Danio rerio: one gene and its partners. The protein of the gene in region 2 binds, or shares a complex with, the protein of the main gene of each other region. Links are inferred from orthologs where the notes say so. Each region holds a gene or a part of one and is shown on either strand. Other genes may lie near its edges. The genes, in order: pigc, piga, dpm2, pigh, pigp and pigq.

Region 1 (5,226 bases), on a different chromosome or scaffold from region 2:
GATGCTAGACACACCGACCCGAACAGAGCTGCATTTAGAGAAAGACTTCCCGGCGGACTGGGCTGAGCATACGGGAAAGACACCAGATGAGCCAGGAGCATAACTGCCGACATGGCGTACACGGTATCAGTGCTGACCGACTCGGTCAGAGTCTTTAAAACTGGTGAAAACCCAAAAGTAAATGCTAGGAAGACAGCAGCGCTCTGCAGGTCCGCAAGACGCGTCCGTTTGCCATCACTGGCTCCTCCCAGGACCTCATAGAGCCCGTATCCAAACAGAGCGCAGCCTAGGCAGACGCATAACACGGCAGACGGCTCCAGCTCACCCTGCTCCATGTAGGACCACAGTGTGAGAAAGAGGGCCACGCAGGACACCTGCTGGGCGATAAGGCCTGTCTCGCGAACCACAGCCCAGTAGCGGTACTGGCGGACGCGGATGTTCCGCCGCAGCTCCTCCAGGAAACGCCGGTCCACATAGTTGTCTGGGAAAGGCTGCCGTTCATAGAGCACTTTCCTCCACGGGACGGCCGAAGGAGCCCCTGGACCGCTGTCTGCTCCCATCGCCTGTCCAAATCAGAGAACACAGTGGCTGAACATTAGCTATGCATGATATTGGGAAAAAATGTGACATTGCTCATTTTTAGTTTTGCTGCCACATTAGGAATTCTCTATTGAACATGACATGTTTTTATCTAGGAATAATGTTTCTAAAGGAGCTGTTGACATGAGATTGATCCTGATTTTGGTAAAAACTCAAACAATACAAATATTAAAATAGAATAAAATAAAACACATCTGAAAAATAAGTGATGTGTAATAACAATGGAATGACACAAGGAGAAGTGTTGAACTACTGAAATACTTCATATAAAAAGCTTTTTTTGATGATGGCAGCTTAAAGACGCCTCTCATATGGAGAATGAAGTCACATGAATTGCTAAGGTGTGAGTTCTTCAGAGACTTCAACACTGTGTAAAAATCTTAATGGTTATGTGAGTCCCATCTTTCAAATCTGATCTTTAATTTGTATTTTTTATTGGGTTCAAGTCAGGTGATTGGCTGGGCCATTCTACAGCTTGATTTTCTTTCTCTTTTCTTAGCTGTGTTTTGAATCATTGTTTTGCTGAAATTTCCGCTATGGTTTCCTTTTTATCATCCTGCTAATGTAGATGTTGGACTGAAGCAGCTGATATTAATTTACAATGGCGAAGAAAAGGGGGTTGCTGAAGAACTACTGAGAGATTTCAGCTGCTGTCTGGGCTTTTATTGTCATTCTGCACCTCTCTATCTTCATGTGTTTAATATTTTTTCCCTGCTTCATTTTTTTTATTACACATAACTTTATTTGTAAAATAATTAGATTTGTTGTCTTTGCATACTTAGATTTTTTTGATTGTTTTAAACATCTGGGAAATATTTTAAGTCAACAGCGCCTTTAGTAATATGTTTTCTGAAAAGAAAAGGTGATGTGTGGAATACTTATTTCCCCCACTGTTTTGTGACACGAATATAGTTTCACCAGATGAATCGAATACTTCTATTTGGAAAGATTTCATTAATTTAGATCGACTGATTGATCAAGTGTTTTTCTTTTATTTATTATTTTATTGCTTTGATGATGCAATTAACCCTTTGCAGGTAGTTTGATTGACAGGCAATCCAGCCAATAATACTGCTGATATCCTGCGATGATCTTGTATAACTTTCTGCATTGTTGTCAAACAGGCATCATGGTAGAGTAACATTTTACAATACAATGGTGAAAATAATCTCATATGGGACTCCAAATGGTACTCAGGTACACAGAAAATTATTTTCTATGCAGTGAGTTTGCATAAATCATAATGCATTACGAGCATTCATTCATTTTCCTTGGGCTCAAGCTGCAGTCACACTAGAGTTTGTGTGTGCAAAATTCTGTCGTATGGCGATGCGAAAAGGGGCGGGATTAAACAGAATTATTACTATTAAGCATTAAAAAAAGCGAGCGATTGCTCCGTGTTTTCAATTTCTTTTCTTTTTTTCTTCAATTTCAATTTTAGGCCAGTTAAGAAACCAATATTACCGAATATTACCAAAATATTACCAAATATAAGAAACCAATATTAATAACCTAGGTTGTTAATCACAACAATGGAAAATGTTCACAACAATGGTGGGGTGGGCTCTAAAATGACAATACTCAGATTTTAAATTTGGAATAAATGTTATAAGAAAACAATATTTTATATTAATATTTTAAACAATTTGTAAATTCAGTACATCCAGAGAAACTGAGAAATTTTCATTGGTCTTTAAGTACACTTAATTTTTTTTTTATTGTCAACATTTACTCCCCCTTCACTTGTTTAAACCCTGTTTGGGTTTCTTTCTTCTGCTGAGCACAAAAGTAGATGTTTTGAAGAATGCTGGTAATACGTATGGGTTGATAACCGTATTCAAGGTATACCACGGTTTGGAAAAATCAAGGTTTTAAATTTTTTTTTTTTGCTATACCGTTCCAATGGTTTATGTAGGTTTGTTTGTTTTTATGTTTTTAGGACATAAGTATCTCCAGCAGAAGATATCCTAAAATGCCATTTTTAAATTATAAATAAATCAGTGTTTTTGAAGCTAATCAAGAGGGAGGAAGTCAAAGATTGATTTAAATTATTTAGCCTGACATGTTTATTGTTACAAAATATTTTTAAAAGTTTGTCAAAATAAAATATATTGTGTTCAAAGGTAGAAAAAAGTTTGTTGTTTATCCAGACGATTAAAAAGAATTTATTTTAGAGCAGTAATAGCAATACCGTGATATTTTCATCCAAGGTTATCATACATCACAATCTTAAACCAGCCTATCGTCACCTTAGAATAATAAGGTTTTATCTGCATTCTGAATGATTTTAAAATATTGAGCTTCAAAGTTTTTGCATTGCATAGCAAACAGTATGTGTGTAACATTTGTTTTTTAAATAAAAAATCTTAAAATGTAAACAACTTATAAAAAAACATCGCATAATGTAAATAAGTTGTCATTTAGTAAGAATATGTCAATAACTCAGTTTTGACAAAAATGTCAAATAGAACCTTATAAGGTGACGCCATGTCTAGCTGATACCTGGCACCCTTTGACTTCAATAGCAATTGCTTTGCCTTTGTAAGTAGATGGGTCCCAGCATCCATCATTCATCAAAGTATCTTCTTTATGTTCGACAGAAGAAAGAAACTCATAAAGGTTTAAAACCAATTAGAGGGGCCAGTTAGATTTTTGCGTGAACTACACCCTGTTCTCCACATATCATGTATTTGCTTCATAGTTTATATATAAAGAAAAACATTAAACACCACAAAACTTTAAGCAGCATTGTTTATCTTTGTGTAAGTAAAACGTGCATTTAATCAATCTATTATTATCCTAAATGTCAAGCGGTATCTGACTGACAGCTTCTCACGTCAATCTGATTCATACAGAATGAATCAATCATACAGTCATACAGTAAGCCAGCTGGCGACAGTGTATAAATACAGACAAAATATATTATTTCATATCAAACTTATACAGAATAATGTTCAAGATAAATCTAAAATCTTACCGAATGAGCAGGGTTTCCTGTATTTAGCCGCAGCTGTCAAGCCATCATACATCCGGAAGTGACGTACCAAAAAACAAAAACAAAAGCGCAACCGTGGTATTGACTGAAGAGCGCCACCTGACGACTGTTCCTCACAACCGCCGACGAGTGAAAAGTGAGATGCATATACATTTAATATTTATATAGTCTATGGGTAATCCTCTCTTGATTAATTTGTAACAGCATATGACTAAAATTTAAATAAAAAAACAGTGTTTAGTAATTTGAGTTATTGTTACATTTGTTTGACCCTCATTAGTGGATAATCATATTTGGAGTCCGTCTGCACACAAACAATTTATTTTCATTCATTTTAGTTACTAATATTACACTAATACTTCAGTATTAGAGTATTTAAAATAATTTGACTCAAACAATATTGTATAACACAGGGCTTCTTTCATTTGTAGCGGACTCCTCAAATGTGATTGATTTTATTTTATTCTACAATTATTTTTTTTCATTCATGAGGAAAAAGTGTCGTTTTGGATGTGACATGTCTCCATAATGGATGTGACAGATGTACAATTGCCACTTGTGTGACTTTGGTAAATTAAATACAGTAGTTTGAAAAAATTGACAGAGACATTTATTTATTTATTATTGAATTATTTTTAGTTTAGCACTTTAATACTGAGTAAAACAGCTTATTGGCTTTAAAATGAAGGATTTATTTCATACAGTTGTAATAAAAGTCCATCAACGAACGTATAGAAACACCAAGCTAAGATTCATTCATTCAGATGTAAAAAAAAAAAGCATCAAACCTATTCACAATCAACATGTAGTTCTAGATATTGGCCAGAAGGTGGTGATATGAGATCAGAAATTCAACGAGAAAAGATCAGTAACTAAAATAATGTAATATATATATATATCATCCTTTATATTAAGTCAATAATAATAATAATAGTAATAATAATTGTTTCTATATTTTATAATTGTGCAGAGTCAGATCAAGGGCTGCACAGTGGCGTAGTGGGTAGCACGTTCACCTCACAGTAAGAAGGTAGCTGGTTCAAGCCATATGGTCCAATTGGCATTTCTTGCATGTTCTCCCCGTGTTTGCATGGGTTACAGCAGTACAGGTGAATTAGCTAAGCTAAATTGTCCATATGTGTGTGAATGAGTATGTATGGATGTTTCCCAGTGATGGGTTGCAGCTGGAAGGGCATCTGCTGCATAGAACATATCCTGAATAAGTTGGTGGTTCATTCTGCTGTGGTGACCCCAAATTCATAAAGGGACTGAGCTGAAAAGAAAATGAATGAATGAATGAATGAATGAATGAATGAATGAGAGTCAGATCAAGTTAAAGGCTATGAACTAACTTGAGCAACTATGATGAAGCCACTATTACATTGGAAGCACAAAACAGTCTGACCAATAGACAAACAGAAAAGCACAGAGCAGAGCAGAAAGAGCAGCAGATCCTAGAGGACAGACACTCTCAGAGGAAAAGTGTTGTTGTAGAAACACAGAAATAGACCAGAGAGAGAGAGAAATCATTTTTTTTTACCATACTTAAATAAATCAACTTACTTGTAGGCATGGGCCGGTATAAGATTCTGACGGTGTAATAACCTTGGATATAAATAGCACAGTTTTAC
Region 2 (4,604 bases):
TATGCAAAATTCAATAAAATGCTTTGTGTGTATCAATTCTTTTGGACATTTTTAACTTCTTTTTTTACAAAATCCTGCTAATACTGATAATTGTGATTGTTCATACATTTTTTTTCTTCTTTTATTTTCATATTTGTTTTCTTTTGTTGTTGTAAGTTTTAAAAAAATATTTTTGTAAAAGAAAATATCTTTGCAGATGTTGCTTATGCTGAAACAGAAACATTACACACTAACTAAATAAATAAAGTCAAATCCTAATCAAGGACTTAATTTAATATCTTGCCATATTTAGTGCCATATTATGCATACTTTATATAATAAACATATTGCAAGTATAATTTAGGTATTTTTATCTTTCAGGTGATGTATAACCAGTCCACATCCACTACCTGCTTTCACAGTTTGCCGTTGCTCCGGTGTATATTTGTGCGTGAATGCATCACAATTGTTCACGCTCACAGCTCATTCTCTGCGATGGCCCATGATGCTCTGTTCCACGCCAAGACTATGGGGCTCAACACTGTCTTCACAGATCACTCTCTCTTTGGATTTGCGGACCTGAGCTCTGTCCTGACCAACAAGCTGCTGACTGTCTCTCTGTGTGACACTAATCACATTGTGTGTGTGTCGTACACTAGTAAAGAAAACACAGTACTGCGGGCCACTCTCGATCCTGAGATCGTCTCTGTTATTCCGAATGCAGTCGACCCCACTGACTTCACCCCTGACCCCTGTCGCCGCGACAACAGCAAGATCACCATTGTGGTCATCAGTCGACTGGTTTACAGGAAAGGTCAGCAGAGCATGCTGCTTTTTTTGTAGTACAGAAAATTGGAATAATAGGCATTGTGTGGGGTCAAAATGAAAAACTTTGTTAGCACATCATTTGACTGCACTTAGTTTTGCAATATTTGTACACAAAGCTTGCACTACATGACGTTGTGACGTGTAGTTACATTTTTTGGAGTGGTGCGCGGGCATGTGAAGGCTGTGCCGGACCGTACGCGTGCACTTGGCAGAAGTATAAAATCAAAATAATATAATAAATATAAATCAAAATATAAAAAGTGTAAATTAGCTTCAACAGAGTGGGGTCATGTGACTCCATGCGCAGTAAGTAATTGAAAAAATGTACCTGTAAAAATTATATTGATTATAGGTTCTGAATATCAATTTCGATTACTTTTTGATTAATCACCCAGACCCACTGTAAATACAATGCAAATTCAAGTAAGTGCATGCACTTTAGAATAAATTGCAACCTAAACTATAATACTGTTCAAGAAAAGGTTTAAAAAGCCCCCATTTTGCATTAAAAAGGTCATATTTTGGTTTTAGGGGTCTCCAACAACAGGCTGAAATGCATGAACGGTCAAAATCACTTTCATTGTCTTATAATCCGCATTAATTTTTACCTAATTATCCCAGTGACATTCATATGAATCCTTCAGTGATTTATTTGTTCCCAAACCCCTCCTTCGCATGAAGCTCATCTGCGCTGATTGGTCCCATGACCCATTCTGTTGCGATTGGTCAACTGCGTTTAGCACGAGACAGAGAGAAATGCCTTCCACTGCTACAGTTTGAAGTAAAGTTAGTAGAGAGTATGCGAGAGCCCAATACAGCAATGCAATAAAGCAATGCAGTTAAACACCAGCATATTACTCTACTCTTAACCCTAACCCAAAGTAATAACAGCGACACGTATTCAGTATTAATTCACACTGCGGCAAAAAAATTGAACTATTTTGAAAATTAACCATGCCGCGTGTAAGGAACAGCTGATGGTGGCTGTAGCAAAGGCAAGCAGCAGATGATCGCCAGTTCGGAAACGAGTTTAAATTGGTAAAGGAAAAAGCACACGTCACGTTTTTAACATAGTTTTGGACACGTTATTGAATAGCCCTTTACAAATTTAACCAGAGGGATACAATACAAGCACTGATCTATAATTGATACATGATTACAAGCCGCACGGGGTGATTACAACTTATAACACACAATAAAACACATATTTTGCAAACTACACAATACAAGGCAACATTAAGATGCCTACTGGTTTAAAAAAAGCCTAGATTAAAAGAAGATGGCCAGAGGAGAACTTTTCTGTCATAAACTATAGTAAAACAACATGTCAAAAAGAATTAAAAAAATTAAACCCTACGAACAGGAATAGTAAATACAGGAATAAAGAAAAGAGTGTTCTTTTATTGTCAGCTGTCAGTCAGCGCCCACACTTTTTTTCGTGCACATTGCACCTTTCCCGTGTGCTGTGTAAATATAGTCAATCGGATACGAGTCACTTTTAAAAGATGAAGTAAGCATTGCAGCAAAAAAATTGGATACAGTCACAAAATCAGAATTGACCATCAAGATCTGCAGTGTAAATGCAGCCTTACATGTTATGATCTGGAGGAAGAAGAAACTGGTCCATATGAACTGTAAAAGTTACTAACAGAGTCCCTGTCAAAGTCTGAAAAAAGTCCCATAGTCTCTGCTGCTCCTTCAATAGCAAACGCCCAGCAAATCCCACGTTGCAGTGTAGGTTATTGTATCAAAAATCAGAAAAATAACAGGTACAAACGCAGCACTAGGTTGGCTATACTGTGGTATTATTGTGAAAATGAACTTTAACCCTTTTTTTTTTCTACAGCCGAATCTCCATCTATCAGTGATCGTCATCTTCGCATCATAATTAGTCCCGTGATCCCCGCCCCTCCACTAGTGTCTAAAGTAAAAGCGTGTGCACATTTTACCGGAACTGAACTACATATTTGGTGATGTGCCGTATCGACGTCGATGCGATCAAACAAAAGATCCGAACCCAACTCGATTCGTTTATTCAACTCTGAGTCAACTATTTAGTTAAAGAATCAATAGTTTTAAATATGGTGTACTTTTAGATTTAGACCTCAGCTGGATGTTTTCATTCACTTAGCTGTGTTACACACTGCATGGAAGGTCATTTTCAAAAACCCATAATAGGGGCTTATTTTTTATTGCCCTAAACTAATTTTGATGCTTTATTTCATTATAATATTATCTGGAGACTTCTACTGTCATCATATTTTTTTATTTTTTGCCTCCAAATATGAAACCAAATTATTTTAATATAATTATATTTTAATATAGTTTTATAATAATTAACCATATAGTAAAATAGGTTATTGATTATCTATTAAATGTTATATTAACATAATTGAAGACATGGATTCTGTATATATAAGTTTTTAATTTTTATTTCGATGGGTTTTTTTAAGGGTAATTTTATCAACCCTTTGATTTATTTACCTTATATTGTTTTGTAGGCATAGATTTACTAAGTGGAATCATTCCTGAACTATGTGGAAGGCATCCGGATCTTTGCTTTCTGATTGGCGGAGAGGGACCCAAAAGAATTATATTGGAAGAGGTTCGAGAGAAATATCAGCTTCATGACAGGTGAGAAAACGAATTGGCTTGAGAGATGCATATTTTCTTTTCTTTATTCATTTACTCTTTTTATCTATGTATATATAAAGGGTTCGTCTGCTAGGAGCTCTAGACCATAAAGATGTGAGGGATGTCCTTGTTCAGGGTCACATCTTTCTCAACACATCTCTCACTGAGGCCTTCTGTATGGCAATTGTGGAGGGAGCCAGCTGTGGTCTGCAGGTATATATGTTTATTTTTATGAATCTGTATAAATAAAATCACATTATTGAAGTAAAATAAGTTGCAAGTGACAGTTAAAGGGGACCTATTATGCAAGATTTCTTTTGTGTGGCAAGTCTGTGAACATAACCAGGTTCTAATGGTAAAATGTGTCATTAATTTTTTTTTATCACAGTTAATAACAGCATTGTGCAGAAACACTTTGACGTTCTACTTTTATACATGTCATCAGAGAATGAAGTCCCATCCAATAGTGACGATTTCTCCCTCATTAGCATAGGATATTAGGCTTGTTTTTTAATCTGCCACTATGCTGACATAGGCATTTGTAGCTCCGCTTTCTTTTAAAAAGAGGACTGGGATCCTAATCTCATTTGACTTTTAAGTGACAGTCACCAAAATGACACCATTAGGATCAAAACCTATAAGGGGCAGTTTCAAAGAGTTGTAAAACATTATTTGTGTGGTATTTAGAGCTGAAACGTCACATACTTTAAAGGTTACCTATTATGCTTATTAAGTCTTTGATTTCCCTAGTCTAGTTTGAATGTCTGATGTGACGTTTCGATGTGCGAAAGAAAGCCCCGCTGCTACTCAGTGTTCCATTATCAGTAGCAGTGGGGCTTTCTTTTGCAAATGTTCTGTCATAGCAATGGTAAGAGGGCATAATTAAGGATAATGATATTCAGTTTCTATGAAAGCCCTGAGGTTGACGTCAACCGAAATACCATCACTCCAAATGTGCAAGCAAATGTTCAAACTTTCATTAAAGATTATCAAAACAAACATTTCTGTTTTTAGTAGATTAACTTGCAGGGATTAATTATTAATAGCAGACAAGTACTACAGACAAAGAACGAAAAAGAATGACATATATTTATGCTAGTCTTTCCATTTTAGCTTGAAATATTTACATTTTTTATTAAATAATATGGTTTTGTCATTATAAT
Region 3 (5,035 bases), on a different chromosome or scaffold from region 2:
TTTTAAGCCAGTGTGTTCAAAATGTGATTCAAACTAGCTACAAGTGTCAGCTTTTAAATGGCCTACATGTTATCTTTGTAGCACAAACAGAAAATGCACAGTTACGTTTCAAGCATCCAATTGTAACAGGATATTCACTGGGGTGACATGTAACATTATAAATCAGAATTATGACAAAAAAGGACTCAGCTCCGAGTATAATCTGTGTTTGTCTCTGTTACAAAGATGAATAAAATGTTTAAATGTGCATCAGTTTAACAATTATATAGGACTGTTTGTGTGTGCAGGCTTCATGAGCACACAGAGCACAGGTGAAATTAAATATATAGACACAGCTAAATTTGCTTGGGGTTGTTGGTAACATTTCACCAAGTTTTTTGTTCCAACTGATCCAGAGTGTTGTAGCCAAGGATTTGCATTACTGCTAAAACATTTGCAACAGCATCATGGGTTTAACATATCTCCACAAACACACAATTTAACATTGATGGGTTTAACTAAGTCAGGAATAAAAATATAGGCTAACTGTCTTAGTTCAAATATAGTTTCCCTCCTATAACATGTCCTGTGTCTGACTCTACTGGTTCGTATGTGGAATGAGGATCAATGTGACCTTACTGTATGTGAAGACTGAAGTGAATCAACTGTTTTTTTTTATTCTGGCTGTATCTGCCAACATTTGTCTCCGAAATTCAGATGGAAGTGTTAAACAATGGACCGGGTTTCAAACGGCGGCGGCGGAGATCGGAAACTATACGTATATAGCCTACGTGTGTGTTTGTGCACATCTCCCTGCGATATAGTCTAATGTAATCCAACTGTAGTATTTTGCAGCATCATGATCATGTATGTACCATAAAACCACATGCAAAACTTTTCCTTACAGCGCCACCTACTGGACACTTACACACACTGAGCAGAAAAACACTTCTCAAGCAGAGGGCCGAAATACTAAAATAACAAAACCAAATATATTTATCAGTTTAACTCATTCTCTCAGAATAAGTATTGTATGTGTGTGAATGTGAGTGTGTGGATGTTTCCCAATACTGGGTTGCAGCTGCCTTTATGGTCTTCATTAAAGATGTGGAGAAAGAATTATAGCCAATATAAAGTTGATTTCAGAATCTAATAAGAAAGCTTTAAAAACTGTGAAAATATGCTTTGCTTTTAAGGTCTTCGTGTAAGTAGCCTTAACTCTGATTTGCAAAACAAATTTTTTATGCTAATAAATAATAATGTGAACAATTAATTTAATACTTATAAATATTTAATGTCTTTCCATTTCTCTCTTCTCTTTATTCATTCATTCATTTTCTTGTTGGCTTAGTCCCTTTATTAATCCGGGGTCGCCACAGCGGAATGAACCGCCAACTTATCCAGCATGTTTTTACGCAGCGGATGCCCTACCAGCCGCAACCCATCTCTGGGAAACATCCACACACACACACACACACACAAACACACACACACACACTATGGACACTTAAGCCTACCCAATTCACCTGTACCGCATGTCTTTGGACTGTGGGGGAAACCGGAGCACCCGGAGGAAACCCAGGCGAACGCAGGGGGAACATGCCTTCTCTTTATCTCTTATGTTATTTTTTTCTATTGTTTCATACTGTTCTTTTTGGAGGGTATCTAAACCTGGATCTGTGTTTGTGCGCCCTCGTGTGATGAATAATGAAAAAACCAAGGTGAGTTGTAAACTACAATTCCCAGCACTTCCTTTGCCTGTCGGAAGTACGTACGTTTTACAGCTCATGCGGAAGTGGCACGTTCGTAATGGTAAGATGAAATTAAATGGGTATAAAATTGTTGTTTTGTCCTGTGTATTTATATATTTTGTATATTACAGAACACATTTTAAGACGCCTCGTCGTTCCTAGAGAGTTAACTTACTGTTCAATTTTCTAGTTAATGTGATGCGTCTGGTTCATGAGAGTTTCAGTTTTTAGACATGTTATATAACTTACTTTTTATTTAAAATTATATTTATTCATTACTTGTTCGTTCATAGTTTAAAGACCGCTGCTGAAAGCTAGGCCAATATATACTTTGCTGTGATCCAGAGATCCAGACAGAAAGTCTTTATAAGCTCTATGTATGTACATATGAAGAGTTCAGATGCAAAAACCTCTAACGTTAAGTGCCATCCTAAATTTCCATGGAAAATTTAAAATTTTTACCTACCTCCTTTGTTTATGTTGAGATATTTCACTTTAAAGAACAGGAAAAGGACTTATTCTTTGTCCTAAAGTGATATTACTGAACATACACACTGGAATCTGATAAAAATGCTTATTTTAGAGGAAAAACTCAGATGGCATTTAGAGATATTTGCATCTAAAATCTTCATACATGTTCTTAATTTATGTTAAACTTGAGGTAAAATTATTATTATTATTATTTTTGTTTTGATTGTAAAATACAATTGAAATAACCCCAAATAAGACTTAAGAAATTGTATATTATTTTATTGTATAATTTGTATAAATATTTTATTGAATTACTTATTTTTGCAATTTATATAAAATGTGATGTGTTAATATATGAGCTAAGCCCAAAAACTATTTATCTTAAGGCAACCGGAGCAGATCAAGCTGTTGGCTTTGGACTCGTTGGCTTTAGTCTTTTGCTGTTCACATATTACTCCATTTGGGTGGTAGTCTTGGTAAGTGATCAGTTAAATTCATTTTTACCGGTAGATAAATCATGCACAATGTGTTACTTATTTCCTGTGCTACTAAAACATATGCTGCTAAAAAAAGTGATGGAAACTCTTCTGCTCTTATTCCAGCCTTTCGTAGACAGTGACCATGTGATACACAGCTATTTTCTTCCACGAGAATATTCAGTCATACTTCCTGGCATCGCAGCATTAATCCTCTTGCTCTTTGTTGGTAAGCAGATCAAGTAATAAAACCATAAAAAAATTAACATGACATGTTCATGCTGTAAATTTTGATTAAAATATGGTCATTTTAAGCATTTATGCCTCAGTGAGGAAAGCGAAAAACAAAATCCTTCTTTAATAAAAATAATAATTTATAGTAATAATACATTTTATTTGTATAGCACTTTTCCAGCATAACATACAACTCAAAAGTGCTTCACAAACATGAACAAATAGTAAAAGCAACATCAACGTGGGGAGCTAAAATATAGAAACAGATAAGCAAAATTTAAATTGCAAATGTTGAGAATAAAAATTATTTATCAGAAAATTATTATTACAATCAATAGTTTTGAAATATTTAAACCGGATGATTAAACTTTTACTTTAACATAATAATTGTGTTAATTAAATTTATGTGAACATAATTCTGTCAAAATAGTTTTTCTTGCATTTTCTTGAACGCTGCAAATAGATTTACTAAATGATTTTAAACATTGTTCACTTTTAGCATGTTTGCACAGCTAACCTTAAAATTAAAAGCTTTTCATGTTTTCCTCTGTATTTAATAATCAAATGTTCTACTTCTCTTTAAGGCACATTCATAGGGATCGTAACATGGAAGAATCGAAAACCTAAGAAAGTTGATTAAGACTCTCCAGGTTGTTGTGATTCGTACTGCAGCAAGAATGATCAGCGTTGGTTTTACTCATCCATGTGAAGAGGATGAACTTCTGGAATCCAGTCATTTGTCATGTTCAGGTGCTGTAGTTGTTAAAATGAACATCAAAATAGAGTTAACTAATTCACCAAAGCCGTACTGAACATGTACACAATAATAGTCTACCTGAGCTTTGTACATCTAGTAGCTACAACATTGACTCAAGACCATGCTAGTAGTGCAATGATTTAGGGAATTAGCGTGAATAATACATAAGATGATAAAATAGGCACATAAGACATGTGTGTAGTTTAGAGCACATCTAAATGAAATATGGGAGTAATGTTTCATTGTTCTTGTACTATGCTTTAAGTCTGTGTGTTTCAGCTGTTCTCTTGTTTTGTAAATAGACATATTTATGAGGTAGAGTGCTTCCTTTTAGCCTCAAATATCAGAAGAAGAGTCTGAAAATAATGGGAAAGGGATTTTTTGCTGTTTCAAACAATTCCTCATTAAATGAACAGAAATATACCTATGTCATGTGTTTTATATGATTTATTTGACATAACACTTCTGCTACTGTAGCTCATCTGTTTTTAGGGTTTGAGGTGATTTTAATATCTCAGCTGTAATGATAGTGGTTGTTACTCTTGTGCTGTGTTACTGCTTACCTTTCTATTGAACCAGTCTGGCTATTCTTTGGCCTCTTGCATTAACAAGTCATTTTTACCCACAGAACGGATGCTCATTAAATATTTTATTATATTATTTTGCTATAAAAGCCCAGTAGGGCGAGGCAGTGGCGCAGTAGGATGTGCTGTCGCCTCAAAGCAAGAAGGTCGCTGGTTCGAACCTCGGCTCAGTTGGCGTTTCTGTGTGGAGTTTGCATGTTCTCCCTGCCTTCGCGTGGGTGCTCCGGTTTCCCCCACAGTCCAAAGACATGCAGTACATGTGAATTGGGTAGGCTAAATTGTCCGTAGTGTATGTGTGTGAATGTGTGTGTGGATGTTTCCCAGAGATGGGTTGCGACTGGAATGGCATCTGCTGCGTAAAAACTTGCTGGATAAGTTGGCGGTTCATTCCGCTGTGGTGACCCCAGATTAATAAAGGGACTAAGCTGACAAAAAAATGAATGAATGAATGAAAAGCCCAGTAGATCGGCAGTTTCTGCAAACAACCTTTTTGACAACAACAACAATCAATGCCAAATGCAAATTCTGTTAAAGAGACATTTCACCCCAAATGAAAAAATACTAGCTTTTATTCTCAGCTTTAAAAATATTATTTTTTTTTCTGTTGAACATAAAAGATCACATTTTAAAGACTGCTGCTATCATAACCATTTTCCATAGTAGGAACCATTCTGTAGAAATCAATAACACCCAATTACCAGTGTTCTGTGAAATATCGTCTTTTGCAGAAAGAAACTCGGATAGGTTTGAAAGAAGTGGAGTGGAGATAAATGATTATATGTA
Region 4 (5,280 bases), on a different chromosome or scaffold from region 2:
CGCAGCGGATGCACTGCAGGCTGCCGCATTCGTCGCACTCGAAGGCGGCCTCGTCCGTGCCACCGCAGGCGTAGCTCTCCTGACAAACCAGAACGCCGTTCAGCCCCTTCTCCGCCGACGAGCCCTGGCCGCTCATTATACGTCCAAATATAATAGCGAGGTAACGGAAGCGAACGAACTTGAACGGAAATTTCTCTGAAAGTTACTCAACTACAGCAGAGAGCAACCTAAATGTACAATCAACTACTGACACGCTATATAATACCTCATAGATAATGCATTTAGCGTCCTAAACAATATATCTCACTCGTCTGCTGTGAATTTCATTGGAATTCAAAATGTGATGTCAAATTATGACACTGGCTTAAAATCAAATATTCAATATGAACTATAAATAGATCAGTTGACATCCGTGTAGCACTGGCACTAGGACAGATTGTCGAGCTTTCTAATTGATTTAAAAGTGTTCAAGCGGTCTAAACTGACAATCTACAAGCCATAAGTATCGAAATGTTTGTATTGGCAGACATAAACACTGAGAAAACAGCTACATTCGAGTGTTGTTATCGCCCTGGGCTTTTGTTACTCAAGCTAGCTACGATTAGCATACGTGACTGGGCTGTCTCCTCTAGTTTCAAAGACTAAATACTAGTGGGGTTAGAAAATATGACTTCTGTATCTGAATTAATAATGGTTTAGTATCGTACAGTCCTTAAAGTATGTTCACCCAACAACACACACTGATCAACAGAGCTTTGACCGAACAAAACAAGCTGATTTCGAGCCAGAATCACACCGCAGTTTTCAACAAACGAGCTGCTGAATTCCCTCAAACATCGCACACGACAACGACTCTGTCATAAACACAAAAACAATAAGCCGGTTGATGTGAAGATAACTGTTTTTGCCCACCAGCTTGTAAAATGATTCCCCTCCCCGGTAGATTCGGGTGAATGTTGTTGCCAGGTCAGATCAGCTGATCGGCTTGTTTTCACTGGAGCGGGAGTCAAAGGTTACCGACCGCAGGGGCTGATGGGAAATGCAGTCAGATCTCATACATTTCCTAAAGAATCGATAATGCAATGGGGAGAGGTCATCTGAAAAATATTTCAAAAACAAAATGGTGGTAGAATACAATTTATGGGAATGTACTAGGCAGTTTTTTTATTGTAGGCTACATTTATTTGGTCGATTATTACCTTCACATTGCTGGTGACAAAGACACTAAAATATAAATAAAATAAAATACTTAACATTTTAATTGTTACTCAAGTTAATATAGTCTTACTGCATAATCTAATAACATCAAAACAGTTAGCGTATTTCACATGGCACTCCGGGGGTATCCTGCTGTTCCCAGGCCAGCCGAGAGCCGTCCTGGGTCTTCCCCGAGGCCTCCTCCTGGTGGGACATGCCTGGAACACCTCCCAAGGTAGACGTCCAGGAGGCAGACTTCTCAGCTGACTTCTCTCGATGTGGACAAGCAGCGGCTCTACTCTGAGCTCCTCCCGGGTGTCAGAGCTCCTCACCCTATCCATAAGAGTGCACCCTGCCACCCTTCAAAGGAAACTAATTTTGGCCTCTTGTATATGAGATCTTTTCCTTTCCGTCATGACCCAAATCTCATGACCACTGGTGAGAGTAGGAACGTAGATTGACCGGTAAATCGAGAGCTTTACCTTTCGGCTCAGCTCCTTCTTTACCACAACGGACCGGTACATCGACTGCATTACTGATGACGTTGCATCAATCCACCTGTCAATATCACTTTCCATCCTTCCCTCACTCGTGAACAAAACCCCAAGAAACTTAAACTCCTCTACCTGGGGTAAGAACTTTCCTCCAACCTGGAGGTGCAAATATTACTAATCAAAAATTTTATTATTTACTTGTATTTATTTAAAAAAATATATTTTTGTGAAACATAGCTCAGTAAATAACTTAATGAAAAAGATCATTTAGGCTTTTACAATGTACTTTACAGTGTACTTGTTTTCACTGGAGCGAGAGCTAAATATTTTTGTGCAACTGGTTTTGTGGTCCAGAATGGGAGTTTTCAACCCCAGTCCAGTAGATGGCGAAAACGCACCTGTATGTTATTTTGCCAACGTCACATTATCATAAGAAGAAGATGGTTTTACTGTTGGTGGAAAAATAATAATCTAAGCAAAACTATTTATTCTGAAGTCTTTATTAATGTAATTTTCCGACCGCGAAATAACCAGCAGTGATCGAGATGGCCGACGAAGAGTTCACAGACATAAATGGCAACTGGATTTCTTTAGACTGCCAAACGCACTCTTCTTTCTGCAGAGAGTTTACTGTTACCTCACCCAAACTGTCCTTGCGCAAGGTGATGGTGTACACCTGCTGTGTGTGGTTATTTGCTTATGCTGTGTTCTTCTTCACCCAGGTAAGAACATTTTATCATGCGGACTATGAAGGCCTTGGCGTCTTTTGCTGTTTATTAGACAAAAAATGACTGTTTATTGGACTTTGATTTGACATTGCGCGAAAACGTCTATTATACAGTTGAAAACAAATTTATTAGCCCTCCTTTGAAATTGAACTTTTTTTTACTAAGTTATTTTCCCAAGTTTTCTTTAACGTTTAGAGAAGATTTTATTTAAAAAAAGAATTTAATGATAACATAATTATTTTGTTTTTTGCCATAATGAAATTAAATAATATTTTACAATTTATTTTGCAAAATACTAGTAATATTAATCTAAAAATGCAATTTAAAGGCTTAACTGGGTTATTTAGGGTTAACTAGGTCAAATCATTGGACAACAGTGGTTTGATCTGTAGCCAATATTTAATATTTCTTAAGGGAAAAAAAATACATATTTAAAATGTACGTCCATATAGTGAGGAAACAGAAGTAGTTTACGTTGTCATTTATAGTGCATTTATTACAGCTGCTGAGTGCAGGTTAAAACATTTGATTGTGCATGAGGCTGTATTTGGAGATCAAAATAAGAAAACAATATATAGTTTCTCTGAAAAAAAAAAGCTTCTAAAAAGTGTAAATGAAAAGTATATTTGGAAATACTGTAAATATTTTCCTTGCTCTGTTAAAATATCCATCGGCAATTATTCTAAGAAAAAGGATTTTACAGTAAGGCTGATCATGTGGTCTTCAACTGTATTCAGTGATTTTATCACATGAGCCAAACCATAAAAAATGCTTTCTTTACCCATCACAATATGCAATTTTAAAGAAGATAAAACCAAAATACAGAATATGTTGGTTCAATAAAGTCGTATCCCTCTAAATCCAATACACTCAGTAACCATTTCATTTGGCAGGATTATAGTCGAACAGGAACCCAAATTAATCATGTTTGTGTTTTTAAGGCCTGTGATTGTGTAAGCATGTAAAGCATTCATGCATAATGAAATAATGAAAACTATTTTACATTTGATTACTCAATTTGAGTACCCGAATACTGCTAGAAGGTTGTTGTTTTCATTCATCGCTTTGCTCTACTGTTTTTATCAATACTTTTGATTGATTTATTAAATTTGATGCAGATACACTCCACAAAATCATCATAATCAATGTAAAATTATGTAAATTCTTTCCAAATAGAGCTATTCATTTCATCTGGTGAATTTATTTACAGAATCTCAATGTGTATTGACAAAAAACTAAATACTGCAATATCAGCTTTTTCCCAATATCATACAGCCCTAGTATATATCTCAAAATTCCACTTAGTACTAAGCAAGAAGAACTTATTCAGGAATTTCCAACATGGCTGCGATTGAAAGTTTGATATTATAATAGAATATATGAAATATTTTCGTGAATGTCAAGCAAATGTTCAATATAAATCTAACCTAATTGCTCTTATTGATCTAATATAATTCTCCTTCTGTTTAATATTCAGAACACGGCGGTTCTGTCAAGTGCCATCATCCTCACTTTAGTTGGGATGGTGATTCATATTCACTTTGTGAAGGTGGACCATGAGACCCTTCTCATAATAGGCTCTCTGGGTGTCCAATTGTCCTCGTCTTACGCCTCTGGACGAGAAAGCACGACTTTCATTGAGATGAGCAAGCTGAAAGACATCGTCATAAATGAGGCTGTTTATATGGTAAACACACAGTGACCTTCACGCATGATAGATATCGAGATGTAAAAATAATCAGTGTTTGTGTTTTTGCTCCTCAGCACAACATCATATACTATCTGTGCATTCTCATCAAGGACCCAGCAGATCCTGAGACGGTGACCAGTGTTGTTCCTCTCTTCCAGGTTCAAAACAGCTGTTGTTATTCATTCGCAAAAGCAAGATTATAGGAATTTGTGACATCTCAGTATGTAAATGAACACCTTTGGTTCTTCCTCCAGAGTTCAAAGCCTCGGCTCAATTGTTTGATTCAAGTGTACAAGAGCTGTCAAGAAATTCTAGCACAGAGCAGATGACGCAGAGGTAATGCTTCATGTTTTGCTAGATATTCTGCATGTTTTACATGACTGACATAGTTCTGTGTCTATATATGCTTTATGACTCCATGTTTTTCGATCAGCAGAGGCTTTCTTTGAAGATGAATGAAGATTGGAAAACTCCAGAACGAATCATAAGCACATTGTTGGTAGCTTTTTTGTATTGTCAGTAATACACAATGCATTTTGTTACATGCAGAAGTTTTTAGATAGGCTTCGCATTCAAAAACGTTTGTACATAACAGTATTCTTGCCTCATTTAAAACATTATTTAATGATTAGCCATTTAGTTTTTTAGGATGTGTTCACACTTGTTTTGCATAATTTTGTTAAAAAAAACTGACAACGGAATATTTTCAATATATATTTTAATATGAAGACTTGAATAGATCTATTCAGAAATAATTCATTATTTTAGATTGATTAGGGTGATTATTGTTATTATTATTATTATTATTTTCCATTTTAGGGGAGCACATTTGGATCAAATATAACAAATCACAAGAAAAAATAAGTACAACAGAAAATACAATGGTCTATGGTTCACTGGTGAGACTAACAATACAGAAATAAATATGACACTGAAACAATTACTGTATGGTATAAATATTTAAATACAAGTAATCTTTGTTAAAGCTACAGACATAATTGCTTAAATGCTTTTAACAGGGTGTCCCCGAGGTCTTACAAAGTAATAAAGTGTCTTAAATTTCAAAAAACAAAATTTTAGGCCTTAAGTTTGAAATTCACTGCAATATTGTGCTGCGAGTCTTAAATCATTTTACACAGGTCTTATTTTACTATTTCCATTTAAAGCTACC
Region 5 (5,132 bases), on a different chromosome or scaffold from region 2:
CGACAGACAGACGGAGAGAGAGAAAGAGTGATTGATCAGACATTAAACATCAGCATCTGAAGAGCAGACGACAGACAGACCACTCACTTCTGCGGCCAGTAGGTCAGTCCGGCTGCATGGAGCCAAGAGTCAGGAACAAACGCCCAGACCACATACAGCACTGATGGAGAACACAAACACACACACAAACAAACACACACAACACCACAGATGAAGAACACACCAGCAGCTGCAATGTCTTCAAGATAGAGGTGTTTGTCAAGCAGAAGTACTGTTTTCTGTCATGCTGCATGTTTATTCAGATATCAATTATGAGTCCAGAACAAATAAATAATGCTCAAGTCATTTATAGTGAACACTGTAGTGTTTCAGCGACTGAGTCAAGTCCTGAAATTGATCTGCTGTGGTGATTCTACAGTCGCTATGGTAACATGACAATTATAATAATTGATCTGCTGTGGTGATTTTACAGTTGCTATGGTAACACATCTACAGTAATTGATCTGTTGTGGTTCTGCAGTTGCTATGGTAACAAAACTACAGCAATTGATCAGTTGTGGTGATTCTACAGTTGCTATGGTAACAAATCTACAGTAATTGATCAGTTGTGGTGATTCCACGGTTGCTATGGTAACAAAACTACAGTAATTGATCAGTTGTGGTGATTCTACGGTTGCTATGGTAACAAAACTACAGTAATTGATCAGTTGTGGTGATTCTACGGTTGCTATGGTACCACAACAGCTACAGTAATCTATGAGTCAGAACTGTATTCTTCTACAACTTTAGAGCACAATACACCACACTTTACCTGAGTAAACTGAAGTGTACTACAGTACTTCTTACTACAGTCAGCATTCAGCATCATAGCTAAACATACAGACAGTATAATGCCCTGTACTCTAGTGTGTGTGTGTGTGTGTGTGTGTGTGTGTGTGTGTGTGAGACACTGCTGTCAGTCTGTAGATTCTGTTGATGTTTCTGCCACAGGATTAAAGCCTCTCTTCATCTGTAAAGGACAATAGCCGCGTTTCCACTATCGCGCCTAAAGCGAGCGAGCCAGGGCGAGCCAAGGCCAGTGGGGTTTCCACTGTCACTTCCGGGGCCTAATCGGGCCAAAGCGGGGCTTTCTTGGGGCCAGCGGCCGGCCTTTTTCGGCCCGCCGAATACCTTGGGCCAAGGAGGGCCAGCTGGGGCTTCGGGGCGGAGTGAAAGAAGAGGCGGACAGTTTTCTGATCGCACATGAGTACATGCGCCAAACAAATAAAGAAATAAGGGAAAGAAAACATCTAGCCTTATAGTCTGGGGTCTTTTTGCGTATGATCACCCTTATGTTTCCCTTTTAAATGTAAGGCTCCTGCATAAAATAATAAAGTTGTTTTAATTTATAGTGACGTTCTTTGCTGCGTCCTCCTTTATGTTTCAACGCATAATAATCTTTACACCATATTAAAAACACAGCAGACAGTAAAAGTTTTCGAGAGTTTTTGTCAAGTTTAAAATGTTTGTTTGTTTGTGCACGTTTAGATGCCTGTATGTGTGTGTGAGACCGGGCAAAAGCGCTCCTTCACAGCTCTGTTATGCCGCGAGCGGCTTTTTTCTTTATTTATTTTGGAGATAATACACATATAAATACAACAGAAAGACATAAACTTAACAAAATACGTGCCCACTTTCGTAGACTTTAAACAATATATTGTCATATCTTGATAAAATAGCCTAAGGTATATTGAAATATAATTTAAAGAATTACAAATATCGGATATATAATCACATTAAATAAATTAACCAATATAAAATAAACAAAAGCTAACTATAACAATGTAGGTAGCCTATATACAATACATAAATCAAACCGTTTTAAAGCCACATATAGCCTAACTTTCATTTTGCAAAGACCTGTCTGAAAAAAAAAAAGATTTTCGATATTTTTTAAAAACAATAAACACCGGAGAAGGTTTGAAATATTTATATAAAGTAAATATTTATATAAGTAAATATTTATAAAGTATTTGGATACGATGATATTAATCAAATCGCGCAAACAGAGCATTATTTGAGTGAGTGAAAGCAGAATCTCCTATACCTTTTTTTCTGTCACTCAGTCCTGCGCAGCACTCGCTGCTTTAAACGCATATGGGGGAAGTCCAAACACAAAATGTGTTCTATATCCTCAAACAACTGTTTATGTTTTTATTTGACGTGGTTAAATTTATAAATGAAACTTTAAATGAGGAGTTTTAGTGAATAGCTGCCGAGCGCAACAAATATGGCTATATTTTATTAGGCTACTCGCTCTTGTGCTGAAAACTTAACACGACTTCTATCAACAAGAGGATGTTAAAAAATACATGACATATTGAGTTATAAAGGAGAATTTCTGTGGCTTTATATTATGGATGTGTGCGCTCTCTGTGTTGGGTCCCTGCGTTAGTGGCGAGAGCACTCCATGCACAATGCAGTCGGTCGGCGAGTAAACAAATGTAATGAATGGAAATACACAGGTCTGTGCGTATAGACATGTCATGTACTGCTGTACAGTAACGTGTCGTTTGTTTGTTTCGGTTGTCTTCATTTTAATGGTTTCGTTTCGTGATGATTTATGGTGTGCTTTATCTGCCTGATTCTCGCTGAAGTGGGCGGGTTGTGTGACGTTTGATTCGGGGACGTTCTGTGGGCGGTGTTTGCGTGACGCGCTGTGAGCTTTAGCCCGACAGTGGAAACGCGACATGATTTCAGCCTCATTTCTCAACCTCCCGGGCTGTTGGCCCGCCCCGGCCCGATTAAAGCCCTGGCTCGCACTGGCCCGATAGTGGAAATGCGGCTAATGTGTGTGCAATATCAGTACAGATCGAGTTAGAGACGTACAGAAGCCCAGCTGAGCGCCCAGGAACAGCACAAAGCCGTAGATGGCTCTTTCCGGCAGAGGAGAAGGAGAGTTCTCCACCATCACCATCTCCAGCAGCGACACCTGCGCGCGCACACACACACACACATCAATGCTCCAAACTAACACATCACACACGCTTTAGTTTCGATAAATACTATAACATATAAAACGAAAAACAGAACATACATGTCTTATTTCCTGATGGTGCTTCCTTGTGTTTCTGCGCAGGCGCACTGCGTCCTGCCGCCCCCGCGCGGCCTGGAGACAAACAAACGCGCGCGCACCTATTATTTGGTTTAATGCTCTGATTTTTATTTTCCATATAAATATTGTTTGTAAAAAATAATGTTGATTTTGAAGACGCTCTCTCTCCTTCATTCACTAATATCTGCGTGTATTAGCTCGGTCTGATATTCTGTGTGTTTATGACAGATTAAGAGCATGTACTTTACCGTACATGTTAAATATTTGTTGTGTTCAGCAGTTAAAATGAAGCGTATAAGTGTTCAAGTAAAACAACTAAAGAAGGCAGTAAATGACAACAGAATTAAAATGACTGGGTGAGCTGTGCCTTTAAGACAAACGTTGGTGTCCGCGGCCGAACAGCAGAGGGCGCGCTGACGTCACTCCGTCTAGAAGGGATACAGCTGCGGATTCTCACATTAGTATAGCACAATCTATACGACACTACAACAATATTGATTATTGTACATTACTGTGAGGGTAGAAGATAATTAAATACAGTTTAATGGGTAATTTAATAAATAATATGAATAATACTCTGTATAATTACTGTTTTTACATTACTGTGAGGGTTGTAGTAATACAATACAGTTTAATGAGCATTTTAATAAATAATATGAGTGATATTCGGTATAATTTCTGTTAATCCATTGCTGTGAGGTTTGGGGTTGGGGTAGGTAGACGTCAATACAATGTGCAATTAACTCAAATACAATTAATGGCTAATTTAAAATAAAGTAAAAACAAGTTGTTACTTCGGACAACACCTGTATCCCTTCTAGTGGTGAACAGCAGAGGGCGCGCTGATGCCACTCGCGCGGGCGAACAGCAGAGGGCGCGCTTCTTACTCCGCGTCAGTTTCGCGCTGCAGTTGATGCGTGAGGTTAAACATCAGGAAACAGTGGAGCTGCTCTTCTGAATCAGGTCAGTTTATAAACATTTCTCCCCGAATATTCACGACTGATGGACGGTTAGCTGCGGCAGCGCGTGTTCTTACTTCCGCGACGCCCCGCGTGTCATCAACACAGGTAAAGCGTCTGCCAGCCCAGAATGCGTCGCGTTCAACTTCCTGGTAAAGTTTGCGCCTTTCAGTGCGATAATTACAGATGTGCGAGCTGATCTTTAGAGGAGAAGAGATTAAACGCTCAATAATGGCGGAGAAATGACGAGTTTGGCGCCTTTTAGAGGCAGAAAAACACGAGCTGAAGGAGAAAAGCTGAACTCCTGAGGCGAAGCTGCGGATAAAGCGAGCAGGAGAGTTTACCTCAGCTTTACCACGGCACAGCTCGGGTTTGAGGAGAGGTTTGGCCAGGTTTGTGTCAGTTTAGACAGTAAACAGCTCGTGGTTTTGCAATGGAAGCCTCTGGGTCAGGTGTGTCTCCCCGAGGTGCATCATGGGAAGCGAGGCTGCTCTGATGTTTGCTGTAAAACTGTGCAGTTGGTGTTTACTAGGTTTATATAATGTTAGACACATCCACTCATTCCTGAACTCTTGTGACAATCTGTGACCCTCTCCATATGTTGTTCACCGCGCTACTGTGAATATTGGGTGTGGAACTGAACATTAGCACTGTTTAATTGACTGAACTGTTGTACTTCAGGCTCAGCCCTGCTCCTGGAGATCCACCTACCTACAGCATTCAGCTCCAACCCATATTAAACACACCTGCCTGTAGTTATGCAGTGCTGCTCAGGTGAGTTTGATCAGGGCTGGAGCTGAAGTGTGCAGGAAGGCAGATGTCCAGGAGCAGGGTTGAGCACCTCTGATGTACTTCGACAGTCATTTGGCTGACAATGTGATTTCTCTATGTCGTATGGGCTGAGAATGCTCTCTGCGAATGTAAAAACACCTTTACCCCCATCGAGATGCAAATCTTTTGCTGATTTTCCTGATTTTGTGTGTGAAGCAGAATGTCAGACAGTGACGACTCAGATCTGGAGGAAGGACCCAATGTTCAGAGGCACAAAACCAAGATTGTGAGTATATTTCAGTCATTTA
Region 6 (5,017 bases), on a different chromosome or scaffold from region 2:
TCTATCTATCTATCTATCTATCTATCTATCTATCTATCTATCTATCTATCTATTCATCCATCCCATATTTTTCATTTTCCAGGGCAATATTATATAGATACATGGTTTTATTATTATATCTGCTGATATTTTATTATAGCCTATACTGTTTGTTTGAATATTAACATTTATTTATTTGCACTCCATCTTCAGCATGCAAGTTAGTAAAGATGATGGCATTGCGGAAAGGTGCAAACAACATTTCAAGGCATAGTTCAGCCAAAAAAAGATTAGTTACTTACATAATGCTCACCCTGCATTGGTTCTGTTTGGATTTCCTTTTTTGCTAAACACAAAAGAAGGTATTCTGAAAATTGTTAGAAACCTGTAATCATTGATTTCCATAGTAGAAAAAACAAATACATGGAAGTAAATGGTTAAAGGTTTGAAAAAAACCTTTAACTTATACTTAACTTAAAAACTTATTTTGTGTTCATCAGGAAAAGAAACTCAAACCGGTTTGTACAATTTAAGGAAGAGTAAATGACAAAATTGTCAGTTTGGGGTGAACTAACACTTTGGGACTTTACGGTTTTCATTATTATTGGTCAGTTTGTCTGCTTGACAATGCCATTTAATTGCACTGCAGCAAAAGAAAAAAAAAAGAGACAAACACAAACTGAAAAACATTTTTGTTCAGGTAAAACAGAAAAGGGAAATTTAGTTTAAAGAAATTTTAAACTAATCTAATATCTTCTGTCTAGTCTAATCTATGTTGTGCATATTTTTCAGTTTTCACCTACACATCTTTGTGTCAGATATACACAATAGCTTCATGTCCTCAACACAAACATGAAGGTGAATTCCCAGATGTCAATGAATAATCAGTTGCCTGGCCTGTCATTGTCGTGTTGTTCATGGACTCCAGTCTGAGCACATTCTTCACAGGCTGTTCCACCAAACAAAAGATCCAAGACCAGTTATACACACTGTACACCAGTTGTTTACAGCTTCAACATTCATCACCAAAAAAGCGATCTAAGATCCAGAGATACTGTATGTATACAAATGGATTAAATAAACTTTATTAAAGGGTTCAAAGATAAAAAAAAAAAATGGCACAAAATTAATTCCACCTGCATTTATACACATTTTATTAACTCATAACATTATTAACTGCTACAAAAACACAATTTGGCAATGATTATACAAGAGGATCATGGTTAAATAATTTAATAAAAAAAATGTAACTATACTTAACTCAGTCAGTTCACATTGATCAGGTAGATTAGACTTATATAAATGTATACAATTTTATAGTACCACTTTAAACTTTATAGTACTTTAAACAACTTTACTCAAGTCACTTTCCATCTACCTAGCCTATCAGGAGAGGCTAAAAACTAATAAGGTTGACAGTTTTACTTCCAGTTCAAATAAATCTAATAAATTGGTAGTGATACAGCGATCAGAATTAACTATCAAACTTACAAGTAGTACATGGCACATCTTCAAATGTTATACAAAAGTAGAAATAGACTTAAAATAAATACAAAAATAATCACAGTTTCAATCACAGAAATAGTGATTCAATGTTTATCTAATTATTTCATTTAACATAATCTGTATTTTTATAAAAGAAAAACTATTAAGACTATTTTGGAAGTGAGTGAAGTTTGACGAACAGAGCATGTTTTCCCCAGTGTGCACATGTCTGGTTATGTTAGTCTAGTATAGTGTTGTCCATTCCTGAAAGAGTTTAGCTCCAACCCCAAACAAAAAAGGCAGCTGTGTTGGCATAAGTTTGAGCTAAACTCCAGAACCAGAATTGAACAGGCATGGTACCTCAAAGTTAGTCTGTCTTGTCAGTCTTCTGCTTCCAGGGGTAAATAAGTTCTCCTACAAATAGTTTCTTGCACAATGCGGCCCATGAATCCTTAGGGTAACAGCTATAGGTGGGCGTCCGGTAGCGCTGTAGTACAGAGCTGCACTTCAATGGGTTGATCTGAGGGTGGAGAAAATTATTTCTTTTTCTGTCGTTCATGTTTGCTCATCTAGAACATCATTCATTATCAAACCTCATAGCTAAGCAAAGCATGTCCAGTGTTTGTACGGATTATGAATTCAACCAAACAATAAGCCTTATATAACCCATCCCAGAAAATCAACAGGTCAAACCCAAACCACAAATGAAACTCAATTATAAGTCAACCGCAGGATTTTAAACTGTTCTCCCAATAATAAACCTACCTCCATCATCAGGTGAAGCGGAGATCCTGACTCCTCACAAAGCACTTTGAATTTAACACCCTCTGGAATACGAAGACATAATATGTACTGTTATCATTATTTACTTGTTTAGGATATATCTTTTCACATTACGATTCTAATGCTTAATCATTTCATTGTTAACCCTTTAACAACCATCGTAACCACCTGGTCGACCTTTTATCCATAGGCTATCATTATTATTTTAATTGCTTATTACTATTTATCAGAGTTGTGTCAGTATATTATTCGATTTAAACATTTTTTTCAAGGAGTGCACCTTAAAGGGTTAAAATTACTCTAATCATTTCAAATGTGTTCTTTTAAAGAGTATATTTGCATTATGGTGCTATTATACACTTTATAAAATGCAGGGTTCCATACAATACCGTTATGTTGCTCCAACACAAATCAAAACAGTAAACCTAACCATTTTCACAAATTAAAGTGATTGAACATAAAACAATTAAGTTATCCCCCCAAAAAACTTAAGAATTGTGTTGTCTCAAGTCCTTTTAAATAAGTAGTTAGAACAAGAAGCAAAAGTCATTTTTGAGTGTATGAACCTTTTACAGATTTCCTGGTTGTTCAGTAGCGGAAGTCGTCATAGGTGGGTAAACGTAGAGCGCCGTGAACAGGAGAGTACAACAATTTTTTTTTTTTTACAATCCTATTTGCTTAAATAATAATAGAAAAACTTGCAATGGTCAGCAATGGTCAGTAACCAAGGCTATTCTCATGGCAAGAACATTTCAATAATAAATATACAATTAAAAAGAACAAACAAATGAATATGTAAATTAAATAAGATTTTCAGTGCTAATACAAGATAAAAAAAATTCAAAAGTTTTTCCTGGTGTCACTTTATTAAAAATGTCCTTAAGAGAGTTCATTTAATAAAAAAGCCTTCTGGAATTATTAAAAGCAGGACAGTACAGTAAAATGGGGTTTCAATGGTGTTATCAAGACTTTCAAAAAAAAAAAAAGGAAACAAAAATTATGTGAGACTATTAACAGCCAGAAGAAAGAACAAGGTCAAATTTACTGTCCTGTCTATACACTCTGCATTACAAACGCATCATATAAGCAGTAACTCGCTAATATATTGCAAAGAGGATATAATACATACATAAATCCACATAAATGTGCATATGTATTTTTAAATCTAAACATAAAAAACCTTTAAGGATTTACGATGCTGAAGCCTGTTAAAATGCGTCAGAACAGTCCTGTAAAAAGGGTCCATTTTAATACTGGCATTCTATAATGAGTTCCATAAAATGGCCCTTAAATGACATTAATATAATTTATCACAATAAATTTAGATGCAATAAATCATGCAACAAAAATGTCAAAAATGTCATGACAAGCTCAAAGATGATTTATATAGTGTTTTAAATAACAGATCAGCTATAAAACAAAAAATAAATAGGCAACAGGTGAGATAATCACAACAGGACATGGACGTTCATAATTTCATCTTTATAATCAGTTGTTATATTTTTAAAAAAAGTCAACGATTAAATCAAAGAACGTATGCATTTCTTCAGTATGATGCAGTATGGCTCACCTGCCAGTCTGTATGGTCTGCAGATGCGCAGGCCGATGGCAAACAGGGGGAAAGAGTTGATGAAGTCGACACTGAGGTGAATCACTCCCTGAAACAGAACCACCACCAGCCGCAGCTACAAGCACACAGACAAACACATTACAAACCCACCAACCCAGATGGAACTACATACGGTATAGATCTTTTTAATTCAAAGATTTGAATTAAGACTTGGCGATGCAGTGGCTCGGTAGGTAGTGCTGTCGCCTCACAGCAAGAACGTCACTGGTTCGAGCCTCAGCTAGGTCATTTGGCGTTTCTGTGCGGAGTTTGCATGTTCTCCCTGCGTACGTGTGGGTTTCCTCCGGGTGCCCCGGTTTCCCCCACAGTCCATAGACATGCGGTACAGGTGAATTGGGTAGGCTAAATTGTCCGTAGTGTATGAGTATGAATGGGTGTGTATGAATGTTTCACAGAGATGGGTTGTGGCTGGAAGACCATCTGCTGCATGAAACATGTGCGGTGCATGAAGTTGGCGGTTCATTTCGCTGTGGCAACCCCTGATTAATAAAGGGAATAAGCCCGAAAAGAAAATGAATTAAATCGATTAATTAAGACTTATGTTCAAAACTGAAAGTCTGCATGAAACATTTGCGAAAAAAAAACATAATTTCTATCTAATGAGTCAAAGAGACGATAAACTGATAAACTGGCACTAAATGACAAAAAAAAAAAAAAAAAAAAAATTACTGAGGTATAAAGTGGCAAGGTGAGCTTTTCCCTTGCACTTCATTAAATTAATTAATTAAAATAATTGCACCTCAAAAGATAAAAGATTAAACTCAATAAATGAATGGCAGTTTTTGGAAGTGCGAGACTCTTTGGGAGCACAGCTGCTCAAGACTGGGATGTAATAATACTAAATCACTTTGATGACAGACATTGGCTGAGACATTATAGAATGAGAAGCAGGGCGGTGGCGCAGTGGGTAGCACTGTCACCTCACAGCATGAAAGTCGCTAGTTTGAGCTTCGGCTGGGTCAATTGGCATTTCTGTGTGGAGTTTACATGTTCTCCCCGTGTTTGCGTGAGTATCCTCCAGTTGCTCCTGTTTCACCCACAATCCAAAGACATGCAGTATAGGTGGACTGGCTATAAACCCTGCTAAATTAGGCTAAAATGTTAGTAGTGCATGTGTGTGAATGAGAGTGTATGGGTGTT

What was found.
Region 1: piga (region 2) and pigc share a complex: the UniProt entries of both Homo sapiens proteins name them as parts of the glycosylphosphatidylinositol-N-acetylglucosaminyltransferase (GPI-GnT) complex. The link is inferred for Danio rerio from reciprocal best matches to the Homo sapiens genes PIGA and PIGC.
Region 3: piga (region 2) and dpm2 share a complex: the UniProt entries of both Homo sapiens proteins name them as parts of the glycosylphosphatidylinositol-N-acetylglucosaminyltransferase (GPI-GnT) complex. The link is inferred for Danio rerio from reciprocal best matches to the Homo sapiens genes PIGA and DPM2.
Region 4: piga (region 2) and pigh share a complex: the UniProt entries of both Homo sapiens proteins name them as parts of the glycosylphosphatidylinositol-N-acetylglucosaminyltransferase (GPI-GnT) complex. The link is inferred for Danio rerio from reciprocal best matches to the Homo sapiens genes PIGA and PIGH.
Region 5: piga (region 2) and pigp share a complex: the UniProt entries of both Homo sapiens proteins name them as parts of the glycosylphosphatidylinositol-N-acetylglucosaminyltransferase (GPI-GnT) complex. The link is inferred for Danio rerio from reciprocal best matches to the Homo sapiens genes PIGA and PIGP.
Region 6: piga (region 2) and pigq share a complex: the UniProt entries of both Homo sapiens proteins name them as parts of the glycosylphosphatidylinositol-N-acetylglucosaminyltransferase (GPI-GnT) complex. The link is inferred for Danio rerio from reciprocal best matches to the Homo sapiens genes PIGA and PIGQ.

The regions. Positions count from the first base shown.
Region 1 is NC_133195.1:16,064,842-16,070,067, reverse strand, and holds the start of pigc (phosphatidylinositol N-acetylglucosaminyltransferase subunit C), read right to left. Parts: upstream 3,596-5,226; 5' UTR 3,578-3,595; intron 564-3,577; 5' UTR 561-563; coding exon 1-560. UniProt on the Homo sapiens protein: Part of the glycosylphosphatidylinositol-N-acetylglucosaminyltransferase (GPI-GnT) complex that catalyzes the transfer of N-acetylglucosamine from UDP-N-acetylglucosamine to phosphatidylinositol and participates in the first step of GPI biosynthesis.
Region 2 is NC_133184.1:32,052,725-32,057,328, reverse strand, and holds part of piga (phosphatidylinositol N-acetylglucosaminyltransferase subunit A), read left to right. Parts: intron 1-360; coding exon 361-793; intron 794-3,308; coding exon 3,309-3,441; intron 3,442-3,521; coding exon 3,522-3,654; intron 3,655-4,604. UniProt on the Homo sapiens protein: Catalytic subunit of the glycosylphosphatidylinositol-N-acetylglucosaminyltransferase (GPI-GnT) complex that catalyzes the transfer of N-acetylglucosamine from UDP-N-acetylglucosamine to phosphatidylinositol and participates in the first step of GPI biosynthesis.
Region 3 is NC_133180.1:32,330,727-32,335,761, reverse strand, and holds dpm2 (dolichol phosphate-mannose biosynthesis regulatory protein), read left to right. Parts: upstream 1-1,733; 5' UTR 1,734-1,788; coding exon 1,789-1,791; intron 1,792-2,587; coding exon 2,588-2,677; intron 2,678-2,803; coding exon 2,804-2,906; intron 2,907-3,495; coding exon 3,496-3,551; 3' UTR 3,552-4,095; downstream 4,096-5,035. UniProt on the Homo sapiens protein: Regulates the biosynthesis of dolichol phosphate-mannose. Regulatory subunit of the dolichol-phosphate mannose (DPM) synthase complex; essential for the ER localization and stable expression of DPM1.
Region 4 is NC_133195.1:31,131,162-31,136,441, reverse strand, and holds pigh (phosphatidylinositol N-acetylglucosaminyltransferase subunit H), read left to right. Parts: upstream 1-2,118; 5' UTR 2,119-2,236; coding exon 2,237-2,413; intron 2,414-3,896; coding exon 3,897-4,106; intron 4,107-4,183; coding exon 4,184-4,267; intron 4,268-4,363; coding exon 4,364-4,438; 3' UTR 4,439-4,445; intron 4,446-4,542; 3' UTR 4,543-4,957; downstream 4,958-5,280. Other genes in the region: zfyve1 (zinc finger FYVE domain-containing protein 1), read right to left, coding at 1-136. UniProt on the Homo sapiens protein: Part of the glycosylphosphatidylinositol-N-acetylglucosaminyltransferase (GPI-GnT) complex that catalyzes the transfer of N-acetylglucosamine from UDP-N-acetylglucosamine to phosphatidylinositol and participates in the first step of GPI biosynthesis.
Region 5 is NC_133185.1:415,878-421,009, reverse strand, and holds the start of pigp (phosphatidylinositol N-acetylglucosaminyltransferase subunit P), read right to left. Parts: upstream 3,119-5,132; 5' UTR 3,077-3,118; intron 2,972-3,076; 5' UTR 2,957-2,971; coding exon 2,869-2,956; intron 161-2,868; coding exon 88-160; intron 1-87. Other genes in the region: E3 ubiquitin-protein ligase TTC3, read left to right, coding at 5,045-5,110. UniProt on the Homo sapiens protein: Part of the glycosylphosphatidylinositol-N-acetylglucosaminyltransferase (GPI-GnT) complex that catalyzes the transfer of N-acetylglucosamine from UDP-N-acetylglucosamine to phosphatidylinositol and participates in the first step of GPI biosynthesis.
Region 6 is NC_133178.1:25,531,476-25,536,492, forward strand, and holds the end of pigq (phosphatidylinositol N-acetylglucosaminyltransferase subunit Q), read right to left. Parts: intron 3,933-5,017; coding exon 3,818-3,932; intron 2,292-3,817; coding exon 2,230-2,291; intron 1,985-2,229; coding exon 1,832-1,984; 3' UTR 1,110-1,831; downstream 1-1,109. UniProt on the Homo sapiens protein: Part of the glycosylphosphatidylinositol-N-acetylglucosaminyltransferase (GPI-GnT) complex that catalyzes the transfer of N-acetylglucosamine from UDP-N-acetylglucosamine to phosphatidylinositol and participates in the first step of GPI biosynthesis.